3 linked regions of the Coturnix japonica genome follow. The protein of the gene in region 3 purifies or fractionates together with the protein of the main gene of each other region. This does not show direct contact. Links are inferred from orthologs where the notes say so. Each region holds a gene or a part of one and is shown on either strand. Other genes may lie near its edges. The genes, in order: MEAF6, ING4 and JADE1.

Evidence for each region.
Region 1: the proteins of JADE1 (region 3) and MEAF6 purify together in Homo sapiens (affinity purification with mass spectrometry; 5 studies listed by BioGRID and IntAct, counting the BioPlex papers as one, with this or other methods). This does not show direct contact. The link is inferred for Coturnix japonica from reciprocal best matches to the Homo sapiens genes JADE1 and MEAF6.
Region 2: the proteins of JADE1 (region 3) and ING4 purify together in Homo sapiens (affinity purification with mass spectrometry; 4 studies listed by BioGRID and IntAct, with this or other methods). This does not show direct contact. The link is inferred for Coturnix japonica from reciprocal best matches to the Homo sapiens genes JADE1 and ING4.

What each region holds. Positions count from the first base shown.
Region 1 is NC_029538.1:3,342,750-3,346,923, forward strand, and holds the start of MEAF6 (chromatin modification-related protein MEAF6), read left to right. Parts: upstream 1-1,260; 5' UTR 1,261-1,310; coding exon 1,311-1,406; intron 1,407-1,530; coding exon 1,531-1,646; intron 1,647-2,106; coding exon 2,107-2,194; intron 2,195-2,301; coding exon 2,302-2,347; intron 2,348-2,769; coding exon 2,770-2,959; intron 2,960-3,202; coding exon of another isoform or gene 3,203-3,227; exon of another isoform or gene 3,228-3,945; intron 3,946-4,174.
Region 2 is NC_029516.1:69,398,944-69,402,578, reverse strand, and holds the end of ING4 (inhibitor of growth protein 4), read left to right. Parts: intron 1-141; coding exon 142-308; intron 309-484; coding exon 485-599; intron 600-904; coding exon 905-1,013; intron 1,014-1,330; coding exon 1,331-1,478; intron 1,479-1,854; coding exon 1,855-1,916; intron 1,917-2,144; coding exon 2,145-2,184; 3' UTR 2,185-3,015; downstream 3,016-3,635.
Region 3 is NC_029519.1:30,521,765-30,524,871, forward strand, and holds part of JADE1 (protein Jade-1), read left to right. Parts: intron 1-853; coding exon 854-971; intron 972-1,853; exon of another isoform or gene 1,854-1,859; coding exon 1,860-2,758; 3' UTR 2,759-3,107.

The sequences.
Region 1 (4,174 bases), on a different chromosome or scaffold from region 3:
ATTTCACCCCCCTGACAAGCAAAAGAGCAGCTGGATGTGAATGATCTGATGCTGGAAACATGTTCAAAGATGGTTTTCTGCTGGATAAAGAAACGATGTAGAACACAGCAAAGTGTATTTAAGAATATTTTTATCCACTGTTTTTTGTCATAAGCCTTTGAAAACGCTACTGAACTGAGGTGTTAGTTTCAAATGTAACCCCATGCATTGTTTGTAATGTCTTGTTTTGTAGAGTTTGCCAAATTCTAGAGTTCTAGAAGGGAGAATGACCAGGTTTGCTACTAAAAGAGGGATATTGCAAAGGTTTTATGTGTCCTGGGTGGTTGCTCTGCACTGTGAGCAATGGGCATTTGACCACAATGAGCTGCCTGTCGATTCCAAGGTAAGTGAGAAGAAAAGGAAACACAACCTGAGGCTTTTAGGTTGCAACGATGTGGTTTGGGAGGGCTGAGGTCCACATCAATGCACGCTATACATTGCAGCACCCAAACTATGGCTGACTGTCATGTATCTCCTAAACCTCAGCCCTTTGTTTCTATCAGCTCCATGAGTAACTTAATGTTTTTTGTTTGTAATTGTACTCGTTACGTGGTGGCATGTTTTTATTACCCGGTTTGCACTATTTAAGTTTTTCTTTATATATATATATATATATATAAAAAGAACTGAAGCTCTCGTTGCTTTCTAACATTCTCCCCCACAGGAAAAGCTTTAGGAAGAGGAAATTAAAAACCCCAATGACTGGAAACAAACACATCTCACCTCTTTGTGGCTGTCTGTTCCCTATGGTTTCCATGTTGATGCTTAACACACTGTTGCCTGTTTGTTCTATGGCCACACACACAACCTGTATACACACACTGGAGCATTGATGGTGTAAATACGGGGTGTTGATATAGGTTTTCATATAGAAAGCAGGATAGATCTTGGCTTGAAGGATCACCTTTATATATATACACAATCTCAAGGTTTTTAAATAAAGAATTTGTAATTCTATTTAATTGTAATGTTTCTTTCCTATATCCCTATTTCCCCCCCATGCACTGCACAGGGAAGCACTGAGCCCTGCTTTTGAGCTGCTGAGTGAGCAGAAGGGTTCAACCTTATATTCGAGGTTTGCCTTGTTGTTTATTGCACAGACCCAAATCCTGGATGCTTTTAGGGCTCCCCATCACCCCCCTCCCATGTCCCTATTAAGCCCGACCCTATAGCGGCTGCGGGGCGGAGCAGGGGGGCGGAGCGCTGTTCAGTGCTGCCCCCTAGCGGCCATTCCCCGCAGCCCCGCCCGCTCCCCGCAGGCCGCAGCCGCCATGGCCGCCCTGCACGCTAAGTCCGGCGGACCCCCGCAAATCCCGGACACCCGAAGGGAGCTGGCCGAGCTGGTGAAACGCAAACAGGAGCTGGCGGTGAGCAGGGAGCGATGGGGACGGGGGGGATAAAGTGGGAAGGCGGTGAGGCTTGTGGTTGTGGTTGTGGCCTTAAGGTAAGGCCAGGCCCGCTTCTATGCATCGCGCTGTGTGTGCCCGGTAGGAGACGCTGGCCAACCTGGAAAGGCAGATTTATGCTTTCGAAGGGAGTTACCTGGAGGACACGCAGATGTACGGCAACATCATCCGCGGCTGGGACCGTTATCTCACCAACCAGAAGTGAGTGTGGACCCCAAACCCGCCCTCCCATCCATCCCAACCCCCCACCCCCCCTTTCCATGACCCCCAAACCCCCCTCCCATACATTCCAACCCCCCCCTTCCCATGGACCCCCAAATCCCCCTCTCCATCCATCCAACCCTCCCCGGCTTCCATACCCCCAAACCCCCTTCCCATTCTCCCAACCCCTCCCCTTCCCATGGACCCTCCAAAACCCCCTCCCCATCATCCCAACCCCTCCCCTTCCATGACCCCCAGAACCCCCCCTTCCATGACCCCAAACCCCGCCTTCCCATCCATCCCAGCCCCCCCCTTTCCATGGACCCTCAGCCCCGCCTCTCTCCCATCCATCCCAACCCGCCCCCCTTCCTTCCATGGGACCCCCAAACCCCCCTCCCCATCCATCCAACCCCCCCCCCCCCTTCCATGGGCCGCCTCCATCCTCTTTTCTCCTTTGCAGGAACTCCAACAGCAAAAACGACCGCAGGAACCGCAAGTTTAAAGAGGCCGAGAGGCTCTTCAGCAAATCCTCAGTCACTTCTGCTGCGGTAAGAGCTGCCCCCAGCCCCCAACCCCATGGGACCAAGCTGCTGTGGGTATCTGTTAAGCCATGAGTGCATCCCTGTTGTCATTAACACCCATTTCATCCTTCCAGGCTGTCAGTGCGTTAGCTGGAGTCCAGGATCAGCTCATTGAGAAGCGTAAGTCACCTCTTCACTTGGCAGAATTAGGAAGAATTGAGCTTCTCCCCACAGCTCGGCCCCATCTCTGCTTTGTTGGGCTCTCTGCTGTCCACTTTGGATGGAGAAACCAGGATTGAAGTGATGCCTTTAGATGTCTTGTGTCTCTCCATCAGCTGCACGTGGCTATGGGAGGAGATAAGAGCTTCACTACTGGAGGCTGCAGCCTGTTGTGGGCATCCAGCTTTAAGACCTTTCCTTCTGCTGTCACCATGGCTTTGGGTCTGACAGCAGGGCTGCATTTCCAGTCCTTGGCACCAGAAATTTGGGTGTCTGTAGTTCTTGTAGCCCTTTTTTCCCCCCCATACTTTGCAGGAGCAGCCCTGGGATGTGAACAGTGAGGTGATAATCATTGGGCTCTTCTGCTTCTCGTCCCATTCCAGGTGAGCCGGGCAGTGGGACTGAAAGCGACACATCTCCAGACTTCCATAATCAGGAGAACGAACCCAGCCAGGAGGATGCTGAGGAGTTGGATGGATCAGTGCAAGGGGTGAAACCCCAAAAAGCAGCTTCTTCCACTTCTGGAAGCCATCACAGCAGCCACAAAAAAAGGAAGAATAAAAACAGGCACAGGTTAGTGGCACCGACAGCCTTCTAGTAGTGCAATGGGAACGGTTGGCTCTTGCTGATGATGTGAAGGGAGCTAGTAACTCGTCAGGTCGTTTGGTTCTATCACTTGCTTTGAAGCTGCCTGTGCTCCTGCTGCTCTCCTTGTGTCAGGGAGGGAGGCAGCTCAGCAGGCATATTCAGCACAGGGTACTCACAGCTCAGGTGTTTCTGACCAGGCTTTGTGGGTTCTTTTCTCTTTTCAAGCAGAATAAAGCTGTCTTCCCTGCAGTAGAGGAAGATGACAGCCCCGGCTTCCTGTGGTTGTTCTTTGGTTTCTACTGAGCTAAGGGAGATAGGAATGTCAGTGCTTTCTTTGGAGGAGGAGGATGGAAAACAGCTTAGAGTGTTCTGGGGGCTGCCGACACTCACTATCTTTACTACATTTTCTACTCCAAAGCTTTCCTGTTATCGTGTCCCAGAGTCCTTTGATTATAGCACGTACAAGTTGCTCTATCACACAGACCACAAGCTCTTGTTATTAAACTGGCCTGAAATTCACATGAAACAGATTTCCTGAGCTCTTTGTGATTGAATTTAGGTGACCACTTCAACCCTTTAAGGCGCACCTTCAAGGCAAGATGCAGCACAGTGGGCTGACAGCTCACATTGGGATTCATTGAATTCCAGTGCTGCTTTCCCTGGATGTCAGGTTCTTATTGAGCTCATTGGCTTTGGGTATGGATGGATATTCCTCTTTGAGGAGCCTTCCTATACAAATGGTTTATAATACAGTGATAGATCCCACAGGGACTGCTGGGAAAAGGTCTGTCTGGGAGACACCAAGGTAGGTGTAGTGCCTGAAAGCCAATTAATTACGACTTATTAGTTAGATTTTCAGCCATTAGCATTTTTAATTGGAAGGTCAGGGTTTTCTCCCCACAGCAGCCTTATTCAGGCACACATCCCAAAGTATTGGATGTCCTTTTGGGTTCCTCCTGAGCAAGGAACCAGCAACAGTTCAGAAGTGGTTTTTAGCCCTCAGGCAGTTGGGAGGAAGGCCAGGAGTAACAGAGCACGTCTCTAAACCACTTCAGAGAAACAATCTGTACGACTGAAGTACAGCATAAGAATGCTGCTGTTTCAAACAGAATCCAAAGCACTGCTGGGCACTTACATGGACCACAAAGCAATCTGCTGCAGGTACAGTGGGGTCTGCTGCAAATGCCATAAATAATATAA
Region 2 (3,635 bases), on a different chromosome or scaffold from region 3:
AGCCTGGATGGCTTTTCTTCCTTTGCTTTCATCACTGGGACCTCGGGGAAAAGCAGGAAACCTGCAGTTTTCTTAACAGAAGGCACTATAGTGCCTATGTATGTACATGTATTTATGTGTTCAATGGTCAACTTGTTTCAGACCTCAAATCGGAGATTGATAAGTTGGCCACGGAGTATATCAGCAATGCACGGACTTTGTCGTCAGAGGAAAAACTGGGGCTTCTCAAGCAAATCCAGGAGGCCTACGGGAAATGCAAAGAATTTGGGGATGACAAGGTTCAGCTGGCTATGCAGACCTATGAGATGGTATGAAGGGAAGTGTCTAGTGATTGTTTCATGAAAGGCTGTGCTGAAGACCCTGATCTCTCTCTTTCAACCCTCACCCACTCTTGCTTTCCCTCTCTTAGAGCAAGCCCTGTACCCTGTCCTCTTTGCTGTCTTGGGCTCTGTTCTGTGGTAACTCCTGATCACTGTCTTTGCAGGTTGATAAGCACATCCGACGGCTGGACACAGATCTTGCTCGCTTTGAAGCAGACCTGAAGGAGAAGCAGATAGAATCGAGTGACTATGACAGTTCTTCCAGCAAGGGCAAGAAGAGTGAGTACCACCACTGGGCTGCAGATTGATACAGGAGGCAGCCAAGTGACTGTGGAAGTGGTGGGGATGAAGGCAGGCACTGAAGTGGTACAGACTGTTACGCTGGAATCTGAAGGACAGGTAAAAAGATGGTGACCAGGGCTCTTCTTGTGTGAGCGTATTCAAGGCCACTAGATAAAATTAAGCTGAAGTGCGTGGCCCAGAGTTCTGAAGTAGGAGTGCATTTTGGTGCTGAAGAGGTTGTTACTGTCGGGTGTCTATTTTGACAGGATGGGATATGCAATAACTTTTTCTCTTGTTGCCAGAGGGCCGAGCCCAAAAAGAGAAGAAAGCTGCACGTGCACGCTCTAAAGGGAAGAATTCTGATGAAGAGGCACCAAAGACTGCCCAAAAGAAATTAAAGCTTGTCCGCACGTAAGCATTTAAGACGCTTGGGGGAATGAGGAGCAGCACTACAAATCAGACTAAGAGAGACTTAGCCAGGCTTCCCTATGAAGAGTTTAATCCCCACCCAGACCAGATGTTGTATATTTCTCCCTGGAAAGAAAGGAGGGAGACCTTTTAGTTTTTTTCAAGGGATTGTGGTGTGAAGGGGAAGACAGATCACTCTAGTGGATGTGGATGTATGTACTTAAAAAGGAGGAGTGGCAGTCTCTGGCAAGCAAGGGCATTGTAATGGGAGATATGATGCTAGTTGATTTACTGACCTGATTTATTTCTCTTTCCTGTAGTAGCACAGAATATGGGATGCCTTCAGTCACATTTGGAAATGTGCACCCTTCAGATGTATTGGATATGCCTGTGGACCCCAATGAGCCTACTTACTGCCTCTGCCACCAGGTCTCCTATGGGGAGATGATTGGCTGCGACAACCCAGATGTAAGAGCCTGTAGTTGATGGATGTGGGGGAGAAGGGAATGGAGAGTCTTGTGCTGCTTGGGTGGGGCCTGATATAGAGGCAGTGACAGTAGCAGGGCTCAGCTGGGAAGAGCAGTGGACTGGCCGGTTAAGTGCAGTTTTCTTTGGGGTTTTCCCTAATACGACTGATATTTTCTTTGCCCTGTACTCAGCAAGGGAGAATTCTGCTTATGAACAACGTGTAGGTTGGGTGTGAGACTGTTTCCCAGCAGATCCCATTAGGGTTGCTACTAGTGATTTCAGAATTCGTGATTAAGCATTGGGAAGTTTCAGCAGACCATAAACAATGATTTCAAGAGAGAACTGCTTTTTAACTGAGTGCTCTCCACCTCAACAGTGCTCCATCGAATGGTTTCATTTTGCCTGTGTGGGTCTGACAACAAAACCAAGAGGAAAATGGTGAGTGAGTGATTAAAACAAACGTTCTGGAGGGCCCATTGGTCTCTGGAAAGAGGAGGTCGTGGGTGACAGAAAATAAGAGATAAATAAATAAAGGAGAAAATAAGACTTTTTCAGAAGGAAAATTTGAATTAAGACTTTGATATCGTGGAAAAGATCCTTTGAAACTGTGATTTCAGTGTTTGTATCAGATCATAAATGCTGGCTTTTTGCTTTCCTTTCTACCAGGTTCTGCCCTCGCTGTTCCCAGGAGAGGAAGAAGAAGTAAAATCCCATGAGCCTTGAATACTGCTGCAGGAGCTCTCTTCCCCCTGCCAGGGCCTCGTCCCAGCTCCCCCAGCCCTTGGGACCTTGGCTAGGGGGAGTCTTGCCCTGTTTGTGGTTTGGGCCATCCCTGGAATGGTGTGTACCCTTGCGGCAGTTCCAGTGTGTCCTGTATCCCTGGCTGCTTCCAAATCCTTAAGGGAGGCCCTCTCTGTGTACTATTCCAAACAGGTCTCTGAACCTCAAAGGGAGTGAATGAGGGCACCAGGGTAGCCACCAGATTCCCAGGGATTCAGGTAGCCCCTGATTTTCCTTGGCTTTCCTTCAGCCTCCTCAGAGTTCATTGCCTACTCTCTGCTGAGAGAACAAGGCTATGGGATGGGGGAAGGAAAGGAGGTAAGTCTTCAGCATTTTAGGTCTTCTATTTTCCTGGATCTTTTTCAGGAGAGAGGGAGTAACCAGGCCACTGCTTAATCTAGTAGCTTGGTTGAGAGACTGAAAACTTTAACGTACTCCCTATCTTTAATCATTCCACTACTTTGTCTGGCATTGAGCAGCCTCTTTTATTGGGGCAAGGAGGAAGAAGGAGAGTTTAGAGCTAGCTTTCTCTCTTACTCCTGGGGTAAACCTGCTGGCCTGGGAAGCACACTGTATGAAGGAAGAAGAATTTCTGGCCATGTGGTGAGAAACGGTTTGATTTAGCCTGTCTTCTGGCTCCAGAATTCTCCCTCCCTTTAGTACAGTGGGGCTTCTCCATTATGTTGATGATGGAAAGCTGAGGGATCCAAAATCCCACTTGTATACTATAGAATTAAATAAAATTCATTCAAACAAATGCTCAGTTTTGTCTTGCTGTCACCTCCAAAGTAAGTAATTGGTCTCTTTCTTAGATCTTTCTCAGCTCAGCTTTTCCACTGATGAATGCAGCACAGCTTTTTTCATGTAATAATACTGAACGTTCTGCCAAGGTCATCCTTTAAAATACATCCAATACACTCGGTCAAAGAATTTCTAAGCTTTCCAGTGTCTGTGGAAAACATCTGCCTCCTTAGTCCCATCCCCACAAATGACAAGATGCTTATTCTCATTTTTGTTGTTTTTTCATCTGTAATCTCTTAAATGAGTGAGGAAGAACAGAGATGACCAGCCCTCGCTATGGCTGTCGGGCAGTACAACTAAGAAAATAAGCCATCGGCACAAAGCTTTTGCATCCAAGAATGTGGACAAGTTTTTTTAGATATCCTGTTAACTTGTTCCCCAGTGAGTCACCTTCACCTTGTACCACTTTGCTGCCAGAAACTCCAGGTACTGTTAATAAAGTAGTGCTGTAATGTTGGCAAGTGAGGAGATGTTCCTTACTGAAGCTGGCCCTTATCAGTTTAATCAGTTCCTAGAATCAGAATTGTTTGAGTTGGAAGGGACCATTAAAGGTCATCTAGTCCAACTCTCCTGCAA
Region 3 (3,107 bases):
CAGTGGTGCCAGTATTACAGGGTTCTTTTGTGCTCAATTTCTACATGCAATAGGACTAAATTCTCCATTCCCTTCACAGCTGTTGCCTCTCTCAGTCATCAGTGACACATCTTCTTGTTAATAAGATAAGGATGTATCTTAGTAGAGAGCAAGAGGGGACCTTACAGACTGTCCTGTTCCCTTACTGTTATTTAGAAAGAATGTTTTTACCAACCATGCTTTTGTGCACTCTGGTCTTCACTGCCCAGTCATGCACAAAGCTTAGAAAATACCTTTTACCTATCATAATTGTGCCCCATGCAATGTCTCCTTATCATGCTCTGCACCTTAGAGTCACTTACCACTCCAGACAGGGGGATTACTCACAGAGTCCTCTGAACAAGACTATCCGGGCAAAGCTTCCCAGCTGTCCCATTGGGGTGACCAGAAAACTGCTGTCTGAAAAGTGGATTTGGTGCCTTGTGTACAATATGTCAATGAACGCACACTCAGGAGAGACGTTGCTTTTTGGCCTGTGGATGTGACTTTTGCTATTATAGTGAAGGTGGTTCAGCAAAAGATACATGGACTCTTGAGTTTTCTTGCCAAGTTGGTAACATTCTCAAAGCATCCTGATTAATGTTCCACTCAAGGCCTGCTGGCTCTGGGATGTCTCTGCTTAAAGGATGCCAAGATGCCGTTTATTCTTCTGATACTTAATACAGCGTTAGCTCAGTTTTTAGAGTAAGCTCTCCATGTAAGTGTACTTCTGCAGTGTGGACCTCCCAGATCTGATAAACTGTCAATTAAATGGTATTAAAGACTGTCTTTTAAGAAGTGTTTTGGAGACTCATCCACTTTTGATGCCTTCTAGGTACGTAATCTCACTTACATGGTGACTCGAAGGGAAAAAATCAAGAGATCTGTTTGCAAAGTTCAAGAACAGATATTCAATATCTACGCAAAACAGTTGGAACAAGAAAAAGTCTCAGGTATGCTTCAGCATTGTCTTTTTCACGTGACACCACAGGCATAGACACTGAAATGTTTAGAGTGGAGTCTAGTCTACTTCAGAGCAGAGTTTAGTGTAGAGTCTAACAACTGATTTTGAAGGACAAGCAAGACCTCATTTATTCTCATTAGAATTGTATGTAGTCCACCATGCATCAGCAGATTGGAAGAACATAAAAATTTGCATAGCTCTAATGGAGGGCACATTGTTATAGAAACAGGTAAGCCTGTATTATCCTTGGAGGACCAAATGGCTTGGTGCTTCAGGTCCTGTCAGTTGTGATTCTTTAATGACACCTTTTGACAGAGAGACCATGACTTACATTCAGGTGCCATATGGTATCTGCTAGGTTTATGTTTTATTAATGCCACTGCATTAGTGTTTTTCTTTGCATTGTAGGGTAGTTTTGAAACATCATACTTTTTCTGCCTAATCTTACTGAAAGTAGTCTTTACTCCCAGGAGAAGAACTTCAGAGTTACTGTATTAACTCAGATTATCCTCAAAGCATCCAGCAACGAATTAATTTTAGACAGAATCAATCATATTGACCTGCTGATGGCATATCTTACCCCATCTGAGGAGTTCCTATGTCTTAATGCACGTAACAGCACTAGGAATTGTATTTGCTACAGGTTTAATTGGCCGTAGCGTGGCTACGGGGAATTCAGCAACATCAGCAGTGTGCTGTGAAACCAGGATGTAGCCATGTAGTCATGATGTAAAGGCGCTGGATATGCAACCAAATGCCCATTTACACTTAAAAAAGTTGTCTGGCAGTAGTGGTGTTAAAATATGTACTACTTTAAAGCGGTATTTGCCCAGACATGGATTGCTTGACTTCAACCTAAATTTGTTTTTACCTTTAGGTGTGCCTTCTTCATTCTCTGCAATGGAAAACGCAGTGTTGTTCAATAGTCCATCTTTGGGTCCCAATGCCCCTAAAATTGAGGATTTGAAATGGCATTCAGCGTTCTTCAGGAAACAGATGGGCACATCTCTAACACACTCTCTGAAAAAATCACACAGAAGAGACAGAGTAAGTAATAGCTCTGGGAACAGTAGCAAGGCAACGCTGAGGCAGCCCAGCCAAAGGGGAGACGGTGCAACTCCAGGAAGCCTTTTAAATTTTGACAAGAGCTTTGCAGAAACACGGATTGTATCAGCACAGCAGAAGAATGGCATAGTTATGCCAGACCACAGAAAAAGAAGAGACAATCTTCCACAATGCGAGGTAATCAAGACAGAACTAAAAGAAAAAACTAAGCATAACCACAAACCACTGAGACCCACAGAACTCTCTCAGAGGCAATCAGAAAACAAAAGGGCTGTGAACCACTCCAGTGGTAGGTCAGCACCTGGCACGCGGAGGGATATAGTGCCTAAATGCAATGGGGGTCTTGTCAAAATAAACTCCAATCAGACAGTAGTTAAAGTGCCTATGACACCCACGAGCCCAGTGAAAAACTGGGGCGGATTCCGGATTCCAAAGAAGGGGGAGAGGCAACAGCAAGGTGAGAGCCCAGAGGAGACCTGCCGCCAGAACTCTGGTTATCCCTACCTAGGCGTGGGCAGAGTGTCACCGAAGGATAGGGCAAAAAGCAAGCCGAAGCCTGACAGCGAGAATGATGGGTACGTCCCTGATGCTGAAATGAGCGACTCGGAAAGCGAAGTAGCTGAAAAAAAGTGCAGACAGCAGAGGCTCAGCCCAAACAGCACTATCAGCAGAAGGACGGACATTATTAGGAGAAGCATCCTGGCATCCTGACCGGGCAATGGGGCACCGTGGTCAGTGGTCACTGCCTACAAACCAACTTCACTTTATTTATTGGTGTGAGAGGGGAGAGTTCTTAGACATGGCTACAGACCAACAAATAGCTAGCCCGTTATTCCTGAGCTGTATGAACATGTTTACATACACTTAAAGCTGGATTTTTTGGCCCCCTGGCCCATTCCGTGACAAGTTTGATTCTCCTTTATTTGCATCTTCCCTGAGTAAGCAGAGAATTGGCATCACTACTAAAACAGGATGTTAGTGATGAACACTAAAGTAAGTCACAAAATCATCTAGGGGGCTAGGGTGGGTAGTGGGGAATTAGGCAGCATCATCCCTTTTT